3 linked regions of the Struthio camelus genome follow. The protein of the gene in region 2 purifies or fractionates together with the protein of the main gene of each other region. This does not show direct contact. Links are inferred from orthologs where the notes say so. Each region holds a gene or a part of one and is shown on either strand. Other genes may lie near its edges.

Region 1 (7,553 bases), on a different chromosome or scaffold from region 2:
AAAAATTTCTCCATCTGAACTCTGCAGTTTAATTGAAGGCATCTACAAGAGAAGGACAGTTATTTTCACACAATATTCTGCAGACACATTACCATGCAAAGATTAGCTGCCTTAAAGCTGTAAGTTACCTTTAATATTTATACTGCTTCTTACTTACAGCAAGCAGTCCACTGTCACTCACGCATGCTCAGACTATTCACTGTTTGGATCAACAGGGCTAAATTCACTAAACCTGATGTTTAAGAAATTAATAGAAAGAAGTCTAACATTAATTCAAACAAGCCTCTCTCAAATTTAAAAGCACGAGAGAGCCATAAAATGGATTAGCATCAATAACGCTTATACTTTTGCGGTCCAACACTAGAGCTATCTTTCTCTTGAATTAACGTGGCACAAACACTTCCAAAACACCACTTGTTTTCACATCCAAACAATTGGTACTCATCATAACTAACTGAAGTCAGATCCAAAAGCAGTTTTCAATTTCTAGCTCTTGGAACTAAGTCACAGAATACTCAATGTTGGAAAGAACCTCTGGAGATGGGCTAGACTCCCCACACCTCCGCTCAAAGCGGGGTCAACTGACCAGTTACTCAGGATTGAACAATTCTCCCTCAGAAAAAAGCTTGGCTTTCTGAGGAGATTAAAAACAAAGCAAACATACACACAATATACCACCATAAGGAAGGCTTTCAGCACCTTACACTACTCTTTCAAAGTAGGAAGTTGCATCAGCACCTTGTTAGCATTAAGAACTATTAAGACGAGTAAGTATTTTAACAAAGTTTTTTGGAACAAACAGTGATACAAACTACTATACAAACAGCAGCAGACTTTAAAGATTATGCCATCAATAAACCAATAGTCAAGTTTTCCTAAAATGCATCTTTCCAGATACTCAACAACTCAAAAACAGAACTAAGGGACTTGATACAATAGTTACTAGGTTACAACTTCTGCCTGAAGCTACACATAGAAGTCTAATTGGGGATCACTGCACTTCAATCAACTGACATGAAGGACCCAGATAAACACAACTGCCTGGTTGCAAAAAGTTTTATAAATCAGATCTTGACAGGCTACTGGGATGAGTGTTATAATGCATTCCTTTACCATTCAAAACACTTCTTAGCAGCAGACCATTACAATGATTTAGTTTTCTCACAAGCTATTTGCTTTAAAAAAAAAACCACCTCTAAAGCATACATTTATAGGTGCAGCCTGCAACTAATTTTTAAAGAAAAATTCTAGGGACAAAGAATTATCATTTTCACACATTCTCCCTCTGCCCGGCTGAACATCTACACATGCTAGCTCCTTAAAGTGGTAACCTGAACTACTGAAACCGAAGGAAGCCGCACTACTTTCAGCTAACTCATGTTATCCCTTTTTAAGGGCCTTCTGTAGCTCCTCAGTACTGCTGAGCTGGGCAGTACTGCAACAAACCAAGGCCAATGGAGGCCAGCCAACATACGTTATTAAGCAGCTCACACCAGCTTGAAGTCCTCACTGCTTTAATTTCCATTTGGCAGAGCCACTAGCTAGTTAATGTTTATACAGTAATGTAACCTTATATGACAGTGCTACTTCTAATTAAGATGATGTGTGTTTTGGAGGGACACAGTCATGGCTGTTCCTTTTATATATACACATATATATTTATGTATATAATATACACACATATAAAATTAGGATTAAAACATGGTCGTGAGTTTCTGGCTTGAAGGATGCTCTGAAAAAGACATACAACTGCACATTTCAGATTTAACATCTGTTCTTGCAGCGACAGGCTAAGAGCACTCAAGAACAAATCTAGTTTGATATACGAGCTTTCTTAGGCTCGTGGTATCTAGGATTACATAATGCTGCACAACTGAGCCAGTAAGAGAGTGATGCTATCTCAGGAAATTTCACCCCCATGAGAATATTCGCATTAAGACTCTCGTTAGGGACCTGAATCAGGTAGAATGAAGCTAGCCTACTGCTTTTTTAACCCGTAACAGGTAAGGCCTTTATCTAAATTTTATTATTTCTTACCACAGAGCAGAGTCTACTGGAAGAAAATAGTCCTTTTTAACGAACTGCAATACAACTCTGGAAACAGATAGGCCACAGATAACAACACAATAGGGTGACTAAGCAGACCAGTCCCAAAAGCTGTATCTGACAGCATCAAAACACGCCGGGAGCCGGTCAAGAGACAAACCCCAATTACAGCGGCAACCGGCAGGCATAAGCCCGAAACGCAGAGCCCAGCCCTCTACAACAGCGCGACTGGGCAACTGCACGCCTCGCGAAGCTGTTCAGGATGCGTGCCCGGTCCCCCCCAACCCCTCCGTGCCGCTAGGTGAAACGCCGCGGCTATTTCCTAAAGCCACGTCCGAGACCCTCGGCTCGCGTTTCAGCTGCGCCAGAGACACCTCCGCGCGCCACGAAGGGGGGCTCGGGGCCGCCCGAGGAGCCCCAGGTGTGTGGGGGGGGGGGGAGGAGGAGAACAGGGGCACCTGCGCGGCCGGGGAGGGGCAAGGCCCGGCGGCGCCGCTCCCCCGCGCTTCCCTGAGGGCCCCGCAGCCCCGGGCCGGGGGGAGGGGGGGAAAGCTCACGCCGCCGCCGCCGCCGCCCAGGCCCTCAGCGGCCCCTGGGAGCACCGCGGCCGCTCTCCACCGGGCGGCCCGCACCGGGCCGGGCCCAGGCGGCTCCCATCAGCGGGCAGAGCCCCTCCCCGCGCCCGCAGGCCTCACCGTGAGGCGGCGGTGGCGGCGTCCGGCTCCGCGCTGAGCGAGACCTGGCGGCGGCGGCGGCGCTCCCGACCCGACTGCGGCGGCGCTTTTATGTGGCGGCGGGGGAGGGGTGCGGGAGGGAGGGGGCGAAGGACCCGCCTCCCGCTGCCTCGCAACCGCCGGGCTGCCCGCACCGGCCGCCTGAACAAAACCTCCCCGCTTTTGCTCCCGCACCGCGCAAAGAGGGGCTGCAAACAGAAGCGGGCCCGCGCCGCTTCCTTCGGGAGTGGGGAGGGCCCAACCGGAGCGGAAAGGAAGCGAGGAGGAGAGGGCGCGGGCCGGCGGGTCTTTCAGGCAGGCGGGCGGCCGCGCCAGGAGCCTCACAATAGGCCGCGGGGGCCTCGCGCGGGCCCAACGGCCGCAGCGCCCCTCCCCCCCGGCGGGGCCGCCCCCGCGTCCCTGAGGCGCCGCCGCGCCCCGGCCCGGCCCCGGGGCAGAGGGGCACCGGGAGGTGCGGGGAGCAGGCCGGGCTCCGTGCGCCAAGCGGCCTCGGCTCCGCGCCGTGCCCGGAGCGCTCGCGTCGCTTCACGGCGAGCGGCGGCTCCAAACGGGCCGCGGGGGGCAGGCGCGGCGGCCGCGCACCTCCGCGGCGCCCTGTGCGTTGCTTGTGCTTAAAAGGAGCAGCTCAGAGTCGTCCCAACCCTTCCCTCCCCCCCCCCCCCCAAATCTTTGGGTATTTTCGTGCCACTGGAGTTTCCTAACGAGAAAGTTGACAAACACAGCGCAAATACCACAGCAAGGGTGGCTTGAAGTCAAGAATTACGTGTGGTTAGCTCTCTGTTAATCGTCTTCGCGTTTCCCCTGCAAAAGCCATGACATGCGATCTTCAGTGGCCGCTCAGGGAAGCGGCGCGAGGCGCTTTGAGCTGAAAATTGCACCGAAAACCACGGAGCCCAGTGAAGGACCTGCAGAAACCGAAGCTGAGCAAGGAGCCGGTGTGCAGAGACGAGGGCTCAGGCCTATGTAAATACAGCAAAAGCGGTGCTCTGTTAGCGCAACAGCAAACCTCAGCTGTGTACCCCGACACAGGTAAGATTTTCTAAAAGGGCGAGGGAGGAATACGTGCCAGAGTGACAGGTATTAGGTTTTGAGGAAAAGAGCAGGCTGAAGTTTTTCCCTCAGCAGGGACAGCAGACAGAGGTACCCCCTCCAAGGTACCTGGAGTGGTTAGCCTGGGTGCAGCATCGCACTGCCACAGACCGTATTTGTGCCACCCCGGAGTGGCTTTTAAGTGGTCGAGATTGTCACAAACAGGGTCTGACTGTGCAACCCTGTGCTTTATTCCAAATCTTTGTTGATGTTTTTAGAACATGAGTATGCTTTCACAGCACTGCAGCATATACATCTCCAGTCTACCTGTAAGCAAAGTGGTAGCACCAGCACTGCGTTGCACTGCCGAGCACAAACACACCGTAAGTCACAGCTTGCCCTTTTCTCAGGGGCCCAGGTTACGTGCCACACTTTATTAAACAAAAAACAGTACTACTCACCAGAAAATACCTTCTAACCTAATAAACTAAAGAATTTCCTGGGAATTTAGAAACGCTCAGTTCGAGAGCTTGCTTGCAGACTTGAATCCACAGCCCAGGGTAGCAGCCCAGCCCCTAAGATACTCAGTCTTCTTTCCTTTCTTTGAGATGTGCAGCTTTGTATAAATTAACAAGGGACTTAACCGGACTTAACCTTTAGTCTTCTACTTTCACCGGAGTGACAGAACCAGTGAGAATGCAACTATTAGAAGTATTTAATCCAAAACCAGGAGCAGGTTCACTTTACACAGAGAGCCTCGATAGTGTTCCTCGGAGCCTGCTGGTTAGGGCTTGCCTCTCCAGAGAGGTGGGAGACTCAGGATTATGGATTCTCAACCAAAAAAAACCTCTTAGGGCTCAGAGGACAATTCTACATTGTGTCATATCATTCAAATAGGTTTTTAATAGTTCCTTGGAATTTTATAGAGAGAAGACTGCTTATTTTGAGAATCTTGTATGACAGGCTTCAGGATGCCGAGCAGCTCATTAGTTGTGGAGCACTTGAAGATGACTGAGCAACCTGATCTAACTCTCAAGATGGATCTAAATTCAGAGTTAACCCTGCTTTGAGCAGGAGCCTGGTCCAGAGGACCTCCAGTGGTCTCTTCTGACCTAAATTATGCTATGCTTCTCTGAAGTGTACTTCCTACCAGCTGGCTGAGCATCTGAAAGTATCAGGTGATGCTTATATATAGGAGACTTTTGATACTAACAGAGGCTCCTCAAGATCCTGGTGTTGGTAACTAGACAATCTGTTAACCATTCACTAGGACCTAATTATCTAAAAAAAGGAAGCCTCCGATCTGTGACCTTTTGATTATACCATATTTTCCTCTTTCCTCCTCAGTCACTCCATCTTGTACACCAACCCTGAAAACTACATTCACTGCATTAAAAATAACACTGCCTTTATTTCCCCCTTGCTTGTTCTTTTTTATTTACATTAAAACAGCTTGGCTAAGAGGATCAGATGACAGAAGGTGGTCTGCGGGCAACATATCTGCAAAAGCAATAATCCTAAATCCCTTTTCCTGCTGCTGCCAAAGATCAAGGTTTCCAATTTGGCTTGTGATCAGTAACTATGAGCTCACTCTCAGACTGGGAATCAGATTCCGTAGAGGGGAATGGGGGTTGCTCTCTACAGAAGAGGAATCTAAATAAGTCTCGGAGCAGGCAGAAAGCTAAATTCCATGCTTACTTATGATCTGCGAATGAGTTATAAATTTAGAGTGATACTGGTGATGACATGCTTTATATTTGATCCACCTGTTCTAAAGATGTAACAGAGAAAATTCAGTCCACAGTGGACTTTGAATTTAGCTGTTGAATTAGAAGTATGGGAAAGTTACAACAAAAACACCACACCCCCTGCAACTGGCATAAGATTGTCATAGATATATTATGATCACACTGACAGCTACCTCCCCACTGTGCCCTACATATCTCATAATGAACCTCCCAAGCTAGTCTAGATGCTCATTATCTTTGCCCTGAAACAGAAGCTGCTGCAGAGTTGATAGCCAAAGTCCTATGAGTAAGTCAATATTAGTAACACAAAAAGACCCATCCTTCACTAAACCTGCAAGGCAAAGAAGGAGATTTTTCAGAAGATGGGTGTACCAATTTCAATTGTTACACACATAGGTAATCTTTCCAGTGCAAATAATCCTGAACCGAAGATTTGCCATTCGGAGCCATATAGATAATCTTACTCCGTATCAGCCACAGATAAATTAAAAGTAAGGGCCTTTTACCACAGAGAATCCAGAGGAGGAAGGGGGGTGGGGGGAGCTTAACCCTAATGCAAATACCTGAAAAGACTGCAGCAACCAAGATCAGTGTAAGCTTGATTTAACGCTTATCAGATCCAGAAGAGCTCTGACCTACATACTTGCAGCATCACTGGGCTGCAGGCAGAAGCTAGCTGAATAGCTGCACAACTGTAGGGGGAAGGGAATTTTCACCAACACACTGGCAAAAACATGGCATTAGAGACCCGAGTGCAGCCTCCAGGACAGAGCACTGGATTTACTCCCAGAACTTGGATTCTATTCCCGGCTATTTCTCTTGCCTCTTAGGTAAAAGAGACTGTTCCCCCAGCCCAAGTGCCTCACGGTCTCCATTTCTGCAGGCAGAGAAGCTGATTTTTGTTGCTGGCGATTCACAATCTATGGAGATCACACACTGTAAAAAGACAGAGTATTTTTAATATTAGAAGTGTGCCACAGGATTGGCAAAGCCTGAGAATCAGGCTTGAAAGACTTCTGTATTTTGTTCCATCGGTAACAAGCTTGAAAATTTCATGGACCTCAGTTAGGAAATCCTGAGGATAAGGCAGCCCTGCAAAGACTGAACTCAAGGGTCCAGAGAGCACAGTTCTGGCATAGAGAGCTAGGTGCTAGAAAACAAGGGAGAAGGTTGGAGCTAAACAAGAACCTCATCTGCACACAGGGGAGATGAGACTTGCAGCAAAAACACTCCTTTTGAAGAATGTTTTTGAAAGCGAGCAGGCATATCAATAAGGCAAGGAAAATTAGGACTAGTTCACTGTAAAAACAGAAAACATCACAATTATTCGTCTGAGATAATATGGTAGAAAGATAGCGCTGGGGCTCAAAGACACATGCCACTGTTCAAAGCAACCTTGCAACAAGCAGCCAAACAAGGAAACAATTCTTGCCCCCACTACCACTCTAGAACACTCCTGAAGTATCTCCACTTCATCAAAAACTGTACGACAGTAGCATCTTAAGAATGTAGTGCTTTTCATCCAAGTTGTACCAGAGCAGTGCAAGACATTGGATACAGTGGGAGATGGGAGTCCACTTTTTAGATGAGAGTCTAATCTGACAGCGATAGACTGACAACATTCAAAATAACTAAATTACGTCAAGCGGAGATCAACTGTTTTTTTTAATCAGCTTCTGGTTTTCCAGCATCACTTATATTCTTCCCCCTTGTATACTACAAGAATTCAAGATGTAGAAGACTATATATGAAGTATAGAAGAATAAAGATAGAAAACAAAATTGGTGAAATACAGAAACAAACCTATCGTAAAGGTACCTGCAGCACCTTTCTAACCTCATCCTCAGTGCACCTTCAGATACTTCAAACATACTGGGTTTTGTTCCCTTTTTGCCCTAGTATCCATTGAAATAATTTCAACTGCACAGAACGAGTCAAACTCGGATCCCTGTAGTTGTTATGGCTGCAATAAACACCGAGGAAGATGCTACCATGG
Region 2 (7,786 bases):
TTATATTTGTTTTTGTATGTGATCATCAAGCGTCCATGTGAGGTACAGAGGTCCAGCCTGAGTGCAAAAGCGGAGAACTTCCTAAGATGTCTTAGCAGGATTCAGCCCCGCACAGTGTTTCTGACAACCCCTTTAAAGTGAATGGCTGGGGGAGGAGGGGAGTGGTAATCAAGATGATCCTCTCACAGGACTCACTATGGATCTCAAATGCAGCCAGAGAGAAATCTAAAAACATACAAAATAAACCTTTTTTTTTCCCCCCAGGTATCACGTTACTCCTCACGTAGAGGTCTGAAGTTATAGCAGCAACAAGGAACACTTAAGCCTGTAACCAAATTCAGCCATCAAGAAGCCAGACCATGTCTACCACACACTTCTGCGGAAGCTGTTACGATGCAATGGATTTGGCCTTTGGCTTGTATGGCAGTCCTAATCTCAGTTTGGGTTTCCCTCTTTGCTACACCGAAACCCCTGGCTGTTGCTGTGCTGAGCCAGGCTTTGCCTACATATATTTGCTTAAGCTGATTTAAAGACACAGTAACACTATAAGTAATTATAGATACTCAGCATGATGCGCTGAAAAGAGAGGAAAAGAAAAAAAAAAATCATCTCCGTTTAAAATAGCAAAGTTCGCTGCACATTCGGTAGTCTTTTAATAATAAGTCTTAGCTGCTGGACAAGTTGTGTCGCTAGTCCCTCAGTCATTCAGGAAAATCAGATAGAAAAGGCTGTGCCCATGAAAGCCCCTTAGAGCAAATCTGTAAGGAATAATAAAAAAAAAGGGATGCAACTAAGGGCAGACCTGTCTAAAAATTTTCATGTCTGAAAAGCCTCATATCATGCAAAGTACTACGACTGGAATGCAGGTTGCCATTCCCTAGGAGACAAGAGGTATACCAGAACACAGAGGTCCCAGCTGCAGTTTCCTTCTGAGGGCCAGACTACACGAGATGCAGCTTTCTCAGCTGTTCCCAGAAGTGTATCTTCAGAATCAGGCAGCAAAACCATTGCCACTAGATCTGTACAGGCACCATGCAGTCCTTAGCCCTGTACTGGCACCAGGACCCGTTAGATCTAGACGCTGGTGACAGTGACGAAAACGCAGGGCAGAGAAGAAAAAGCTAATGCAGACACGGCAAAAAAACCTCAAAGCTGCAAAGGAAGCTGGACGCGTAAGCCTTTTGCTCCTGCCGATCCCTGTTCAGTTTGGCGGTATCCAGCAAGAACAATGGTCCTCAGAAGCAGATTCTCTGGAAAGAGGAGAAACTTACTTCATCTTGATTTTAACCTACGAAACCTTCTTGAGGTGCTTTTCTAAACTGGTTCCAGCCACAATCAAATCGAGGTGAGGTATGGAAACAGCTCACGGAGGAACCTGCAATAAACCTGCCAAGCACTGACACTAAGTCGAAGGACGCTTTAGGTTTCCCCCCCAGCGAGGCCAGGGGCGGCAGAAAGCGCCTCGTCTCTGGTCTTGCTGCTGCCTATATTCACCTAGGACGCAAGGAGCGAGGGGGACCTGGCCCGGACCCTCGCAGCACCCCACGGCGGCCTCTGGCCGAAGCAGAGCGCGGGCGGTGCCGGCCCAGGGGCAAAGCCACCCGCACGCCCCAGGGCCACCGTGCCTCCAGCTTCCTCCGCGGCCTCAGCCAGGAGCTGGGCGCCGCCGCCGGGACTACCGGCCCGCCGGGCCCGCGTGGGCCGGGGCTCGGGGCGCGCACCCTCCGAGCCCCGCTCCCACTGAGCGGCCGCCGCCAGGCCGCCTCCCGGGAGCCCCGCGGCTCCTCGGCCCCGGCCCGCCCGCGGCCCGCTGCCCTGCGGGGGCAGGCAGCGCCGAGCCCCGGGCAGGCGGCTCGCCCCGCCGCCCCGGCAGCTGCAGCGGCCGCGGCGCCGAGCCCCGACGCACCGGAGCCCTGCTTCGCACAAGGCCCCGCGCCGCGGCCCCGGCGCCGCCGTTGCGCGCCCCGGCCGCCGGGCACTGCCCGGGCTCAACAGTTGGCCCGGCCGCCCCGCGGGCAGCCCCGGGCCGCGCTCCGCCGCGCCGCCTCCGGCGCTCGCCCCGCCGCCGCGGGCAGGGCCGCCGGGGCCGCGCGCAGCCCCGCGGGGCCGGGCCGACGTACCGGGGCAGCCCCGAATATGGAGCTGGCGGCGGCGGCGCTGCCCCCGGGGAGGGCTCTTCCGCGATCGACCGGAGCCCTGCCGGCCGGGACGGGAGTTTCTGCCGGGCACAGCCGCCCCCAGCCAGAGCAGGCGCCGGAGCAGGCATGGGCCACGCCGCGAAACTCCGGGAGCGCCCGGCGCCGCCGTCCCGCCGCTCTCCGCCAAGGCACCGGGTGCGCTGCGCTCCGGCGCGCCCCGCCCCGCCTCGCCGAGGCGCCCCGGGACCCCCCGCACCGCCCCGGGAGCGGCAGGTGCCGCCGCCGGTGCCGCCGCCGCCGCCGCCGCCGCCGCCGCGCGAGGCGAGGCAGCGGCACGCGGCGCCCGTCGCGGGGCAGCGAGCGGAGCCCGCCGCCGCCGCCCGCCGCGGGCGCCCCCGGCCCCGGCCGCTGTCACTGCCCGCGGTCCCCGCCCGCCCGCCCTCCGCTGTCCCGCTCCAGGACGCTGCCCCCCCGCCCCGCCGCGCCGCCCCGCGCCGCGCCGCCCCGCAGCGCCGCCCGCCCGGGGGTGTCCCGGGACCCGTTTCCATGGAGACCCCGGCCGGCTGGGCGGAGGGTCGGGCCGCCCGCTCCGTCCGCCTCCCCTCGGTGGTGGGTGCGGGGCGAACGGGCCCGGGGTGCCCGGGCAGCGGGGCCGGGTGTCCGGAGCGCAGCGGCGGGCCAGGGGGGGAGGGCACGCACCTGTTTCCCGAGCCAGGCGGGCGGCGGGGGGCGGCGGGCCGAGGCGGGCCCCTGCCCGAGGCGGCGGGTCGGACACTGGGCGCTGCGAGCGGCGGTTCGGCGGCGGCGGAGACACTGGCAGCGGCAGCCGGAGTGTGAGGGCGAGAGCGAGCCGCCGCCGCGGGGCCTGACGGGAAGTGTAGTCCGGCCGCCGCGCCCCGCCGGCTGCCCCGCCGCCTCGCGGACTACAGCTCCCGGCGCGCCGCGCGGCCAGCCCTGCCCGCACGGAGGGGGGGGCTGTGCAGAGCCAGCCGAGTCCGGAGAGGGAACGAGCGGGAGGGAGGGGGCTCCGCACCCGGCACAGCCCGGGGGAGGGGGCGCGGGAGGGGAGGTCGCTCCCCGCCTGGGGAGGGGCCGCCTGTCCGCGGCGCTCCGCGCCCCGCGCGGCGCGGACGGCACCTCCGGGCGGCGCGGCGCGGCGAGGCGCGGGGGGAGCCCCGCGCATACACACGCACACAACACACACGCACACAACACACACACACACACACACACGCACACGCACACGCACGACCCCGAGCCGGGGCGCCGGGGCACCGGCGCCCGCACCCGGGGCGGGCAGCCGGGCTCCACACCCAGAGGGAGGAGGGCGGCGGGCGCTCCACGCCCGGCCAGTGGGCTCGGCGCCCGGGCGCGCGCTGCGCTGGACGGGCAGCCTGGCGGCACCGCCGGGCAGCGGCGGAGAGGCGGGCGACGGCACCGCGCACCTCGAGGTGCCCGCGGCCGGGCGCGGCGAGGGGACGTGCCCCGCGCCGCCCGGGCAGCGCGGCGCAGCGCGGCCGAGCCGAGCCGCGCTGGCGGCGCGGGGCACGGGCGGAGCGGCGCGGAGGCGCTGACCCTCCCGCCGCGCTGCCCGCACGCCGCCGGGCCGACGTGGGCCCGCGGCGGGGGAGCGGGCCGAGCACGGGCCCCCGCCCCTGCGGAGGGCGGTGGGAGGCGGACATGGCGCTCGGTGCCCTCCCGCGCCGAGCCCCCCGCCTAGGCCGGGGCGCGCCCGGGAGCGGGCAGCGCCATGGGGGCGGCCCGGGCCCCGGGGCCCCCCTCCCCCGCGCCACGCGGGGCACGGCGCGGCGGGCTGGAAGTTTCTCAGCGGCCGCCAGCCGGCCCCCGCCCGGGGCACGGAGCTCGCAGGCCCCGCCACCGCCGCGTCGCCTCGCGGTGCCCGGCGCGGCGGGGCCCAGCCCGCGGCCGGGCCGGGCCGAGCGGGGGGCGCCGCTGGCAGTGCCCTGCCGCGCCGCCCCCGGCCTGCTCCCACCCGGCCGCGGCGCCGGGCCCGCCCCGCTCCGCCCCGGCCCCGGCCCCGGCCCCGGCCCCGGCCCCGGCCCCGGCCCCGGCCCCGGCTGCCGCGGCGAGTGACAGCCTCGCCTGGCCCCGGGGCTGCGCCGCCTCGGCCCCCGCCCTCAGGGCGGCCCGCCGGGCCCGCGCCCCTGGGACCGGGCCGCGACTCCGCGCCGCGCCGGTGCCCGCGCCCCTCCACGGCCGCCTGGGCCCGTGCGGCCCCCGAGCGCCCCTCGAGCCAGCCCTGCGCCGGGCCCCTCACCCAGCACTGGCAGTTCCCGGCGCCGGCCCGGGTGGCAGGGCGCCGGCGCGGGGCTGCCTCGGGGGGCACTCGGGGACCAGGGACGCCCAGTTGTGCCGGGCTGTGGACAGGGCGCCTCCGAGCCGCGGGGCAGGCAGCCTGCGCCGTGGCGGCCCCTCCCGCCTCGCCGTGGCGGGCCCTGGCAGCGGCGGGATCCCTTGCCCGGGCTGTGAGCCTCTCCCAGGTGCTGCCGCAGTGCTGTCCCCTCCCCAGCCTGTCCCCTGCAGGCCCTGGCCCTCGCAGACCCTGGCCCCCCGGCCCTGTCCACGCTGTGCAGTGCTGGCGCGCGTGCCTCTGCTGGCGTTACCCACCTGGGATATGGAGTGCCCCGCAGCCTGAGGCAGAGGTGGGCCATGCTCGAGGTCCCCCTGCTCCTCTTTCCGCTGCCCCGATGTCCCTGCCAGCGCCTCGCTCTGTACCTGTGGGCCTGTCGTGCCTGCCTCAACTGCTTCCCCCGGGGAGGCTGTGATGTTCAGCACCCTGGCCTTCCCTTCGCCCTGGGCCTATGGCCCTTCCTTCAGCCCTCCCTGCTGCTCCTCTCCTGTGGGTCCTCTGCGCGATGGGGTGCCTGTCCCACCCAGGGTGACCCTTCAGCAGCCCCACGCAGCCCCGGCCCCTGGGCTGCGTGCATGTCTGCCGGCGGTTGGGCTGTGTGATGGGAGGCGAGGTGAGGGACAGTGCTGTTGCTGGCTGCTCCCCCCCAAACGCAGATGTTAGCTCTGCAGAAGAAGCATCCACAGAGGAGGAGGGAAAAGGCTGAATTCTTCTTTTAAAGCTAACTTCAAGGAGGCAGCTGCATCTTGTAGCAAAGGTAATCTGGAGAGGGAGCGTGCAGATACAGGCTCGCCCCAGGAGCTACAGGGCACACCAAGGGCAAAGGCAGGGCCCCATCCTGCCGTGAGGGCGAGCAGGGAGCAGGGCAGCGGGGTCTCCGTGCCGCCTGCGAATGGCCGAAGCGCTGCTGGCTGGGGCTTCTGCCGTGTGTCCGTGGCCCTGCCTGAAGGGCGGTGGGCAGCGGCGGAGCGCGGCATGGCGCTGCCCGCCGGGCAGCTGGGCCAACTGTTGAGCCCGGGCAGTGCCCGGCGGCCGGGGTGCACAGTGGTGGCGCTGGGGCCGGGCGCGCGGGGAGCCGGCGCGGGGCCTTGTGCGCAGCCGGGCTCCGGTGTGCCAGGGTGAGGGTGCTGCCGGTGTGGCAGGGCCCAGGGCGGCGGAGCGAGCCGCCTGCCCGGGGCTCGGCGCTGCCTGCCCCCGCAGGGCAGCGGGCCGCGGGCGGGCCGGGGCCGAGGAGCCGCGGGGCTCCCGGGAGGCGGCCTGGCGGCGGCCGCTCAGTGGGAGCGGGGCTCGGAGGGTGCGCGCCCCGAGCCCCGGCCCACGCGGGCCCGGCGGGCCGGTAGTCCCGGCGGCGGCGCCCAGCTCCTGGCTGAGGCCGCGGAGGAAGCTGGAGGCACGGTGGCCCTGGGGCGTGCGGGTGGCTTTGCCCCTGGGCCGGCACCGCCCGCGCTCTGCTTCGGCCAGAGGCCGCCGTGGGGTGCTGCGAGGGTCCGGGCCAGGCCTCTTCTCATGCCCGCGGGGTCTGTGTTGCTTTGAGCCCCTTTGGTGTGTTGCCGCTCTAAGCAGTCTGTTTTGGGAAACAGGATGGCCACTCTCTTCAGTGTTATCCTCCCGCTCTGAGGGCCACCCTGGGGCCACCCTTAGTGGCTGGGTGGTGACTCCCGGGGTGCCTCACTCCAAAACAGTGTTTCCCTTTGGGTGCCATGCCACACACTGCTTGCTGAAGTCCGGGCTTCTTGTTTCTACTCGTGCACATCCAGTCTGGCTCAGGTATCTGCTTGCGCTGCTGTGTCCCTGGCAGTCCTGATTCGGCCTATGCAGACAGCAAACTCTCTTTTTCCATTCGATATGTATGACAGCCAAGGGATTTAGAAACCAAACAGGACAAAGGGATGGATTTACCCCCAAAGGACTGGGGGTAACCGTGGTGTCCTCTGAACTAGCACATCTGGGCTTGCACGTGTATACTTTGGTCGTATGATAGACAAATGACCATGCTGCCATTTGGCGCCGCTGTCCGTGTCATGGCTGCACTGGCACCCCAGGCAGAGGTGTCCTCAGGAGTCTCCCATCATGAGCCCTGTGCTCAGAAGGAGCTGCAAGTCTTCCCTCCTGAGTGAGCTTCCCTTATTTTTTTTTTTTCCTGCAGACAATGCACCTAAAGAAGAAGAAGAAAAATGAAAGAATGAATGAAACTAGTTTTCTACAGGCTGGCAGAAAGGTCATGATTGTTGGATGGTGGATTGGATTCGAAGAGATGGTGACTTGCCTTTCAGAAGGTACGGGTCTGCTCTGAGCGCGTGCCTTGGTTCGCCTGTGTCTGGGCAAGATGCTGGTGCTGAGTGCACAGGGTGTTCAAGGATGGTAGTGGTGAGGCTTGGAAATTGCAGGCAGCAATGCAAACTATAACAGAATAAAATGCAAAGAGATTGCAGCACTAGGAGAAAGTGGATAGCAAGAGCTTAATGGGAATTGGCAGAGCACGGGTTTTTTTCCCACTGGGCAGCCTAACCTGGGAGGCCCCAGTTGTGTGGTGCTGGGCACCCAAGGCCAGTGCTGTCCTATGCTAGCCCTGCCCTCTCAGCTGATTATTTCCATGCAAAATTCCCGTTGCTCTGAGCACGTTTTTTATGCCAAGGGCTCACAGATTTCCTTGTGGCCAAGGAGCGAACCACAAAGGCTTATGGAGGAAGCCAGTATGGGCAAGTCAGGCACTAGAAAAGGGGGCAGGTGAGGCCTCAGGGCTGGTTTTTGGTGTTCAGGAGGGGACCTTGAGGGAGGGAACTTTTCCTGCAGATGGGAATTATTTCAATTTCTCCAGCATATCAGCACCCTCCTACCCACCAGTCTGTTCTACCTGTCGCCTCGAGCCTTGCAGCCAGGCAGTGGCTGGCATCAGTGTAAAGCCAGCCGTCCAGCTCTGCTGTCTGCCAGGGTGCAGAGCAGCACAGGGCTGCTCTGTCACCCTCTGTCACGCCAAAGCTCAGCAAGGTGGGCACGCAGGTTCCAGCGGCTCTGCAAGGGCATCGGCTCCCATCGTGCGGGGACCTCGTTCCCTGGCACCTTCACTCCAATTTTAAGTGAGGTGCAACTCCTGCAGTGCCGTGTCCCATTGCTTGACATCTAGTAGAGGATGAAAAACGTGGTTGCGCGGTACTGGAACCTGATGGCCAGCCATAGAGAATGGTGAAAGAGATGTTGCAAAGGATGGACAAATCATTAGGAAGCCCTTCTATTACACTGCTTGCCTGTGTAATAGAAGCACAAACAACCCGGAGTT
Region 3 (6,897 bases), on a different chromosome or scaffold from region 2:
ACCTGAAAATACTTCCTACAAAGTTAATTGTACATGATTAGTATGAAAACTACAACTGTTTTAATCAATGTTACAACTGATTTCCAGTGGCTTTCAAAAATATTCATCTTCACTACAATTGCCTGCTTTTCCACACATCCACATTTGGTGGATTTTAACATTCAGAAGCAGACATTAAGTCCATTACAAAGAAACAGGCTTCTCTGAACTGGGGAAAAAAAAAAAAAAAAGTGTTCTGTAGTGTCTTATAGATAAAGTTCTCATCAGTTAAAAAAATGCAGTAGAAATTTTGAATTAAGAATCAATGCACACTAAGAACTCTGTGGAGGCATCAGCTTAATCCATATAAACATTAAATTTAAAAATGGTAGGCTGGAAAAAATTAATTCCCATCTAAACTCCACAGCGTTGCTATTTTGAACAACATTGACGAAAAACACTTCATTGCACAGGCAATATGAGCAAATGTTTTAACAGGGACCCAATTTGGTTTTTTGGACTCCAGCTCCTTTTAAAAAAAGTCCACCCAAATGGTCTTTAAGGTGCCAGGGAGACACAAATGATTCTCTCCAGAGACACAAAGGTCTACTTACTAGCTCAAATCTAGTTTCAGATTTGGAGCTTAAAATTGCCTGGTCTAAAACCACAACCTGTATTTATCTCATGCCATGTGTAAATCCTGGGCTTTGCACACATGTGAAAATGTGACCCATTTAAACCTTACAAGAAAAAAAAAAAAACATAAACCTAGTCAGCTACACATTTGTTGCGGAGTTTGAGTAGAAAAATAAAAATCAACGCACCAGCTAAAACTCTGCGTACGAGAACATTGTGGGGGAGGAAAGAGACACCAAAATTCAAGCTCTATATTTTGCTCCCAAAACATTCAAGAGGAAAAGGCCAACTGGTTTATCTACTTATTTATTCCGAAGATTTTTAAGTTTTAGTGCTTTTATCTCACTGAGTTCCCAGTGGGACAAAACACTATCTTAAACTGACTTTGCCAATGCAACTGAGTAGTGTTTAAAAAAAGGTTGTTACTCGCATCTCTGCTGTTTTAAAGATTTTGCATTCACTCTTTCAGCAGTGTTATTCTGTTGAATATTATCGATCCATACAGACCTATCCATGACACAAACGCAAAGCCAGTCTTGACATAAACCATGCTATATGTGACAGATACAGTTCCTCTTAGCACATTTATCTCACCGATTCCCTTATTATTAAAAAAAAAAAAAAAACAAAAATCAACAAGCATTCAAGACTAAGTTATCAGAAGTACTTTGGACATTCATTCAGGTTTTCAGAAGTCTAGGAAATAGGTGTTAGAAATAAAGCAGAATCTTACTTGTAAAATAATTTGACTTAACTTTGCACTTTTGATTTTAAACATACATTTGTTGCAATTCATATTCCATATTGCTTTGAATGATATTTAGAACGTAATTGCTGTTTTTGATAGGATTGCAACTTTTATTGCCACTTAAACTTCTCTTGCTGACAGGATTAGCCAATAGGTATGATAATCACCACAAAGGATTCTTTAATAATATTCTGTCAGCACACAAAGACTACAAGTGCAGTCCTGTTGGTTTTATAAAAATCCTCCATTCCCCAAGCGCGTCCATTTAGGCCATATTATTGAACAATACAGATACACATGGGAACCAGTTAATTCACTGCAAGCTTTCAAATGGGTGCTACAGAAAAAAAGGCCCTTCCTGGGAAGTCACTGATTTTTCAGGGTGCCACTTCCACACGGCACAACTCAGCCCATTCACAATTCCTTTTGAAACAGCCAAGAGTCACTATCCATCTCTACAGCCACCAAAATCTGCATGGTGGAGCAAAATAGCTCTGTGGATGAAAGCAAGCAGCCGGTTGGGGGGGGTGAAGAGGAGGGGGGTATAAATGACATTTTAGGGAGACGAAGTTAAACTCCTTAGAAGAAGAAAAAAGAGATATTAATTCAGGTGAGGGTTTTAACCAACCAACCATGCCCCAGCAGGGGGGGGGGGGGGGGATGGCTCTTCCCTTCTGCGAGGGGCACGGCCTTGCAAATGTTTGGGCTGTACAGACTATTATTTTTTTGGCTGTTGTTTTTATTATTATTATTTTTCGCTCCTCTCCCGGCAGTTACAGCGCGGTAACCTCGGGGAGGAGACACGGTTACACCACCCTCTCTCCAGTCAGTAAATCTCATCGGGCCGCAGTCCACGCACGGAGGAGCGGGGCCTGCCTGGGGTCATGTTTAGTGGGGAGCCCCGGGCTGGGGGCGGGGGGGGGGGTCGCAGCGAGACGAAGTCTCGCTGCGACCCCCCCCCCCCGCCCCCAGCCCGGGGCTCCCCGCTAAACGTGACCTCATTCCTGTCACAGCCGGTCTCCCTCACGGCGCGGGGTGGCCGGGGGGAGGAGGGGGGAGCCCGGCCAACGGCTCCCCGCGTGGCGTGGCGCGGCGCGGCGGGCACTCACCGTGTGGAGGTGCCCTTCCTCACGTCGCACATCATGCACTTGAAGGCCTCGGCGCTGTTGCGGAAGGTGCAGACGCTGCAGTCCCAGTAACCCTCGTCCGAGGAGGGTTTCGGCTGCCGCTTCGGCCTGCGGAGACATACGCACACAGCGGGGCCGGGGGGGGGGGGTGGAAAAGGGGGGGGGGAGAGAAACCTACCGCCGTCACGCCGGCCCCGCCGCCGCCGCCTCCCCCGGGAGCGCCCCGCCGGCCGCCATCTCTCCGCGGTACCGGGCCCCGGCGCTGCCCCTACCTGGTCGGGCTCTTCTTGTCTCCCATGCCGGCTCCAGACGCGTCCCCCCGGCGCGGCGCGGCCCGGCGCGGCCCTTTGTGTATTTGTCAATAAGGAGGAGCGCGGGGGGCGCTTGTCTCTAGCGGGGACCCGGGGGGGAGGAGGAGGAGGAGGAGGAGGAGCCGCCGCCGCAACCTCCAGCTGTCGGGGAAACTCCTGCCGCCGCCGCCGCCGCTGCTGCCCCCTCCCCCCTCACGTGTCCCCCCGCCGCCAACCAGCGGCCGCCCGCAGGCCGCGGCGCCCGGCGGGCCGCGCGCGGCGGCAGGTTCGCAACGGCCGGTGGCGGCCGGGCGGCGGCGGCGGAGGGACCGGGCGCCGCGGGGGCTGCTGGGGGCGCCGCCGGCGGGAGGGGCCGCGGCATGGCGGCGGGGGGGGGGGGGGGGCGTGCTGAGGGCCGGGCCCGGCGGCGGCCGCTGCCATTGTCCCGCGGGGCGCCCGGCCGCCTGGTGGCACATGGCGGCGGCGGTGTTGGGGTAGGCCGGGCGCGGCGCGGTCCGCCGCCGCCCCGCCGCCCTTCCCGGCGGCGCCGTGCTGCTCCGCAGGGTTTGCGGCCCAGGCCGCGGGCCGCCGGCGGGTGCGGAGCGGGCAAGGGCCGGCGAGCGGCGGGGGCACGGCGCTGTGGCGGGCGGGCGGCCGGGCCTCGCTGCGGGAAGGGGCGGCGGCGGCGGCGGGGCTCTGCCCGTCGGGGAGACGCGAGGGAGCGTCCCGGGCCAAATCAGGAGCGATGCGGCATTCGCGTGTTTTCGTGCCGGCCGGCGCTGCTTTCCCGCTGAGACCGCGTTTCTGTTAGCACAGAATAACGTTTGCAATAACGTCTCGTTTGCCTCGTTCTCCTTTCCAGAGAAATTTTTGCCGGGCCGTGCTTTGGTTTAAGGAGGGAAAGGAGATAAAATGAATGCTTCGTGGGGGTCTGCTTAGAAACCACGCAGGCCAGTGAGGCACAGGGAGAATGTGATAGGTGCTGATACAAAATCAGAAGATAACGGTGTTATCTAGTATCCACATGTAATGCTTGGCCTTTGTACTTAAAAGTGCAGAAGTACAACGTGGTTCACATGCAACACAGTAACATGAAACAAAACACTATTATTTGTTACCTGTGTTACAGCAGTGCACAGGAGCCCCAGTCACGGAGTAGGATGCCATTTTGCAAGATGCTGTACAAACAGAACAAAGAGCACATGTCCTAAGTACGTAACAAAAGGCAGCAGTCAGATACAGGTAGATGGCAGAGTACTGGCAGACAACGGGATGATATTGGTCAGCATCACAGTGATCAGAGCAATTTTTGCTGCATAGCCTTTGTCAAGGAACAACAGGATTTCAAGGAGAACAAAATGTGCCTGAGGGGAGCTTTGCCTAAGTGTGTGGAAAAGCATAACTGAAGGTGTAGAGCTCTTTGAAAATTTAGTAAGTAGACAATGGAGAAACTTTCTGATTCTGGAGCCAAAGTTCTCCAAAAGGATTTCAGCGAGAAATAGTGGTATATAACGAAGGAAAGGAAAATGTAGGTCAAGTGCTTGACGTTATCTCCTGAGGGAACCCACAAAAGCCCAGCGAAACGTCCTGTTATTTGGAACACTGACATTTATGTAGAGGTATTGCTACTGCCCAGTTTCCTGACCTCTCTCCAGCAATCCTGTACACCAGCAATTTCGAGCCTGCATAGTATTTCCTACTTGGTGGCTGGTCGCGTATCCTAATTTCCTTCCACGTCTATATCCTGCTACCAGTATTGTCATGTTCTCTGCTTTCGGTTTTCTTAGCTAATTGGTTTCCCTTGCCTTTCTCTTTCTTTGCCTTTCCCAATTTCATTCGTTCTTCTATTTTTATGCTACTCTTAGGACCTGGTGTGAATTGCAAACACACTGTAGGGACTGCACCTCTGGGGGTGGGCCAAGCCTGAGACAGCCAGTTGGAAAGGGATTCATTAAGTTGGACACCTGTAGGAAGTAGCCACCCAGATCCAAACCCAACAGGGAGAAATAAGCACCTACAGAAGGTAATTCAAGCAGATGATTTTCTCACTTTTGGAGACCATTTCTCTCCATTGACTATGAAGAGAGCTTTGCGCAAATATTTCGGAACTGGACACTGGTCTTTAAAAATCTAGAATTACATGAGATGACTTTCACCACTCCTTGAATCTCACTCTACGTAGAAAGCTTTAAACAGGAAGCAGTGGAGAAACCTGCCTCCTTGTGCCCTTTTACATATTGCACTCTCTCTACTGCATAAAAAAACATATTATTTCTCCACTTTCAGAAGACAATTATTTTGAAACAACCTCTTTCTCCTGACCTTTCCTCTGTCACAGCATACTTTTCCCATACGGATTATAAGAAACAAAACAAAACTTCCATTGATGGTTGCAAAACACTGGGATATGTTGTAATCCCTCAGGAACTATTCTTGGAGAGAACCACTTCTAATCAGCAGGGAGAATCATAACTGCCAACCACAAATGTTATCCCTAACAGCCGAGTAATCTTTCCAATTGTAGCATTCCAGCCCTTCTGCTGCATGGACATCACCCAAACCACTCTGCTTAAAGATCATGATGTTTCCCCAGCAGCACTGGGCCTGTTTCCCACTGAAATCCCAACTAATCCTTGTTTTAGGAGCTTAAATGTGATTCAGTAGGGCATCAAGAGATCAAGTAGATGGGCCATGGTGCCTTCTCTGTGCAATGATGAGTCTTGTTTTTTAATAACTCTGAAGAGGAAAGAAATGTCATTTTTCTCATGCCTTGTTCTATCTACAAACAGGAACAAAAGTAAACACCCGTGAAAGCACTAAGCCCCCAATGTTGACACCACAGTTAAAAGATCAGTGGTTTGTGATAGGACCAGGTGGCATTGAAGGGCTGGGCAAGGGAAGGATAATTGCTCCATGCAGTGTTTTCAATTCGTAAGAGATTATGAAGAAAGCTGCACTAAGCAACTCCAAGCAAATCCTGAACTTAGTCCAGTAACAGGACACTACCCTGGGATACACAACATGTACCACATTACTGACAAGTCTGGGTGAGACAATACCCGTGTTCCCCTGAGAACTGCATTTCTTTCTCCTCTGGAAAATACTGACTTTTCTCCATTTACGGAATCGTGTTTTATTTCTGAAATAGATTATCTAAGCCAACGCTTCTGTCTTCAGAAGAACATCTTTTACCAATAATGCAGAAAAACACACCAAAGAGGTGTGTATAATAGTTAAATGCTTAATCAAGAGAGTATTTCAAAGAGACAATAATGTTCCTAGGACTTTGGTACAAAGTGACAAAGCTGGGGACTTCCATAACCAGACCTGACATCTGGTGATCCCCATATGAACACACAAAACTTAAACTTGTCTTCTGTTAAATATTTATATGGTGTGTTACCTGGATAGTTTGTGTGACAGAGTTGATGAAATCAGTATCAGTTGTCTTAAAAAAATGTTTCATGGAAGGAGAAGGAATAACTTTAATCTTCATTTTAAATTCCCTTAGTTTTAAGTTTGATTTTGTCTAAAGTGGGGTTATTCCAGAATAGTTATTTACACCCTATTTTAATTCAGCTGACCTTCGAAAGTAAACACATCTTTAAGATAGAAGGAATGTGCAATATGTTTGCCTCTCACTAAGTGCATCACGGATTCACTCTCTAGTTAGGATATGGTCTTATACTCCTCTCTTAAAATTGACATTTTTTTAGCATTGTTCTAGGGCAACACTCATGATAGGATTATGGTATTTAATATAATATTATGCTGATAGCTTCATGAAAGTTAAAGATATTCTCTGTATCTCATGGTATAAATGTTCTGGCATGCATGACTTCTCAGTTAAAACTTTATTCATATGAAAGAGGACGTGAAAGGAAACAGTGGCTATTTCTGAGTATCTTCTTGTGTGAAAATTCTTATCCAGAGGGGATTACTATTATTCCTAAGGAAAGTATGCACCTACGAGGTTATTTAAGACCAGACTATTGCTGTGTGAATCCATATGAAGACTTGCCAGTCATTTAGTCAACAATTGAACCATTGTTGAGCACATGAAACCTATGCCAGTTACTGCACTGTCAGTATCTTCATCAATTATATAACCACTTTG

Evidence for each region. The genes of interacting proteins can lie anywhere in the genome.
Region 1: the proteins of BCORL1 (region 2) and SKP1 purify together in Homo sapiens (affinity purification with mass spectrometry; 3 studies listed by BioGRID and IntAct, with this or other methods). This does not show direct contact. The link is inferred for Struthio camelus from reciprocal best matches to the Homo sapiens genes BCORL1 and SKP1.
Region 3: the proteins of BCORL1 (region 2) and YAF2 purify together in Homo sapiens (affinity purification with mass spectrometry; 5 studies listed by BioGRID and IntAct, counting the BioPlex papers as one, with this or other methods). This does not show direct contact. The link is inferred for Struthio camelus from reciprocal best matches to the Homo sapiens genes BCORL1 and YAF2.

Annotation. Positions count from the first base shown.
Region 1 is NC_090954.1:3,872,856-3,880,408, forward strand, and holds the start of SKP1 (S-phase kinase-associated protein 1), read right to left. Parts: upstream 3,006-7,553; 5' UTR 2,742-3,005; intron 2,095-2,741; 5' UTR 2,038-2,094; intron 43-2,037; coding exon 1-42. UniProt on the Homo sapiens protein: Essential component of the SCF (SKP1-CUL1-F-box protein) ubiquitin ligase complex, which mediates the ubiquitination of proteins involved in cell cycle progression, signal transduction and transcription.
Region 2 is NC_090952.1:1,778,319-1,786,104, forward strand, and holds the start of BCORL1 (BCL-6 corepressor-like protein 1), read right to left. Parts: upstream 3,006-7,786; 5' UTR 2,838-3,005; intron 1-2,837. UniProt on the Homo sapiens protein: Transcriptional corepressor. May specifically inhibit gene expression when recruited to promoter regions by sequence-specific DNA-binding proteins such as BCL6.
Region 3 is NC_090942.1:33,985,226-33,992,122, forward strand, and holds the start of YAF2 (YY1-associated factor 2), read right to left. Parts: upstream 3,006-6,897; 5' UTR 2,789-3,005; coding exon 2,763-2,788; intron 2,665-2,762; coding exon 2,473-2,664; intron 1-2,472. UniProt on the Homo sapiens protein: Binds to MYC and inhibits MYC-mediated transactivation. Also binds to MYCN and enhances MYCN-dependent transcriptional activation. Increases calpain 2-mediated proteolysis of YY1 in vitro.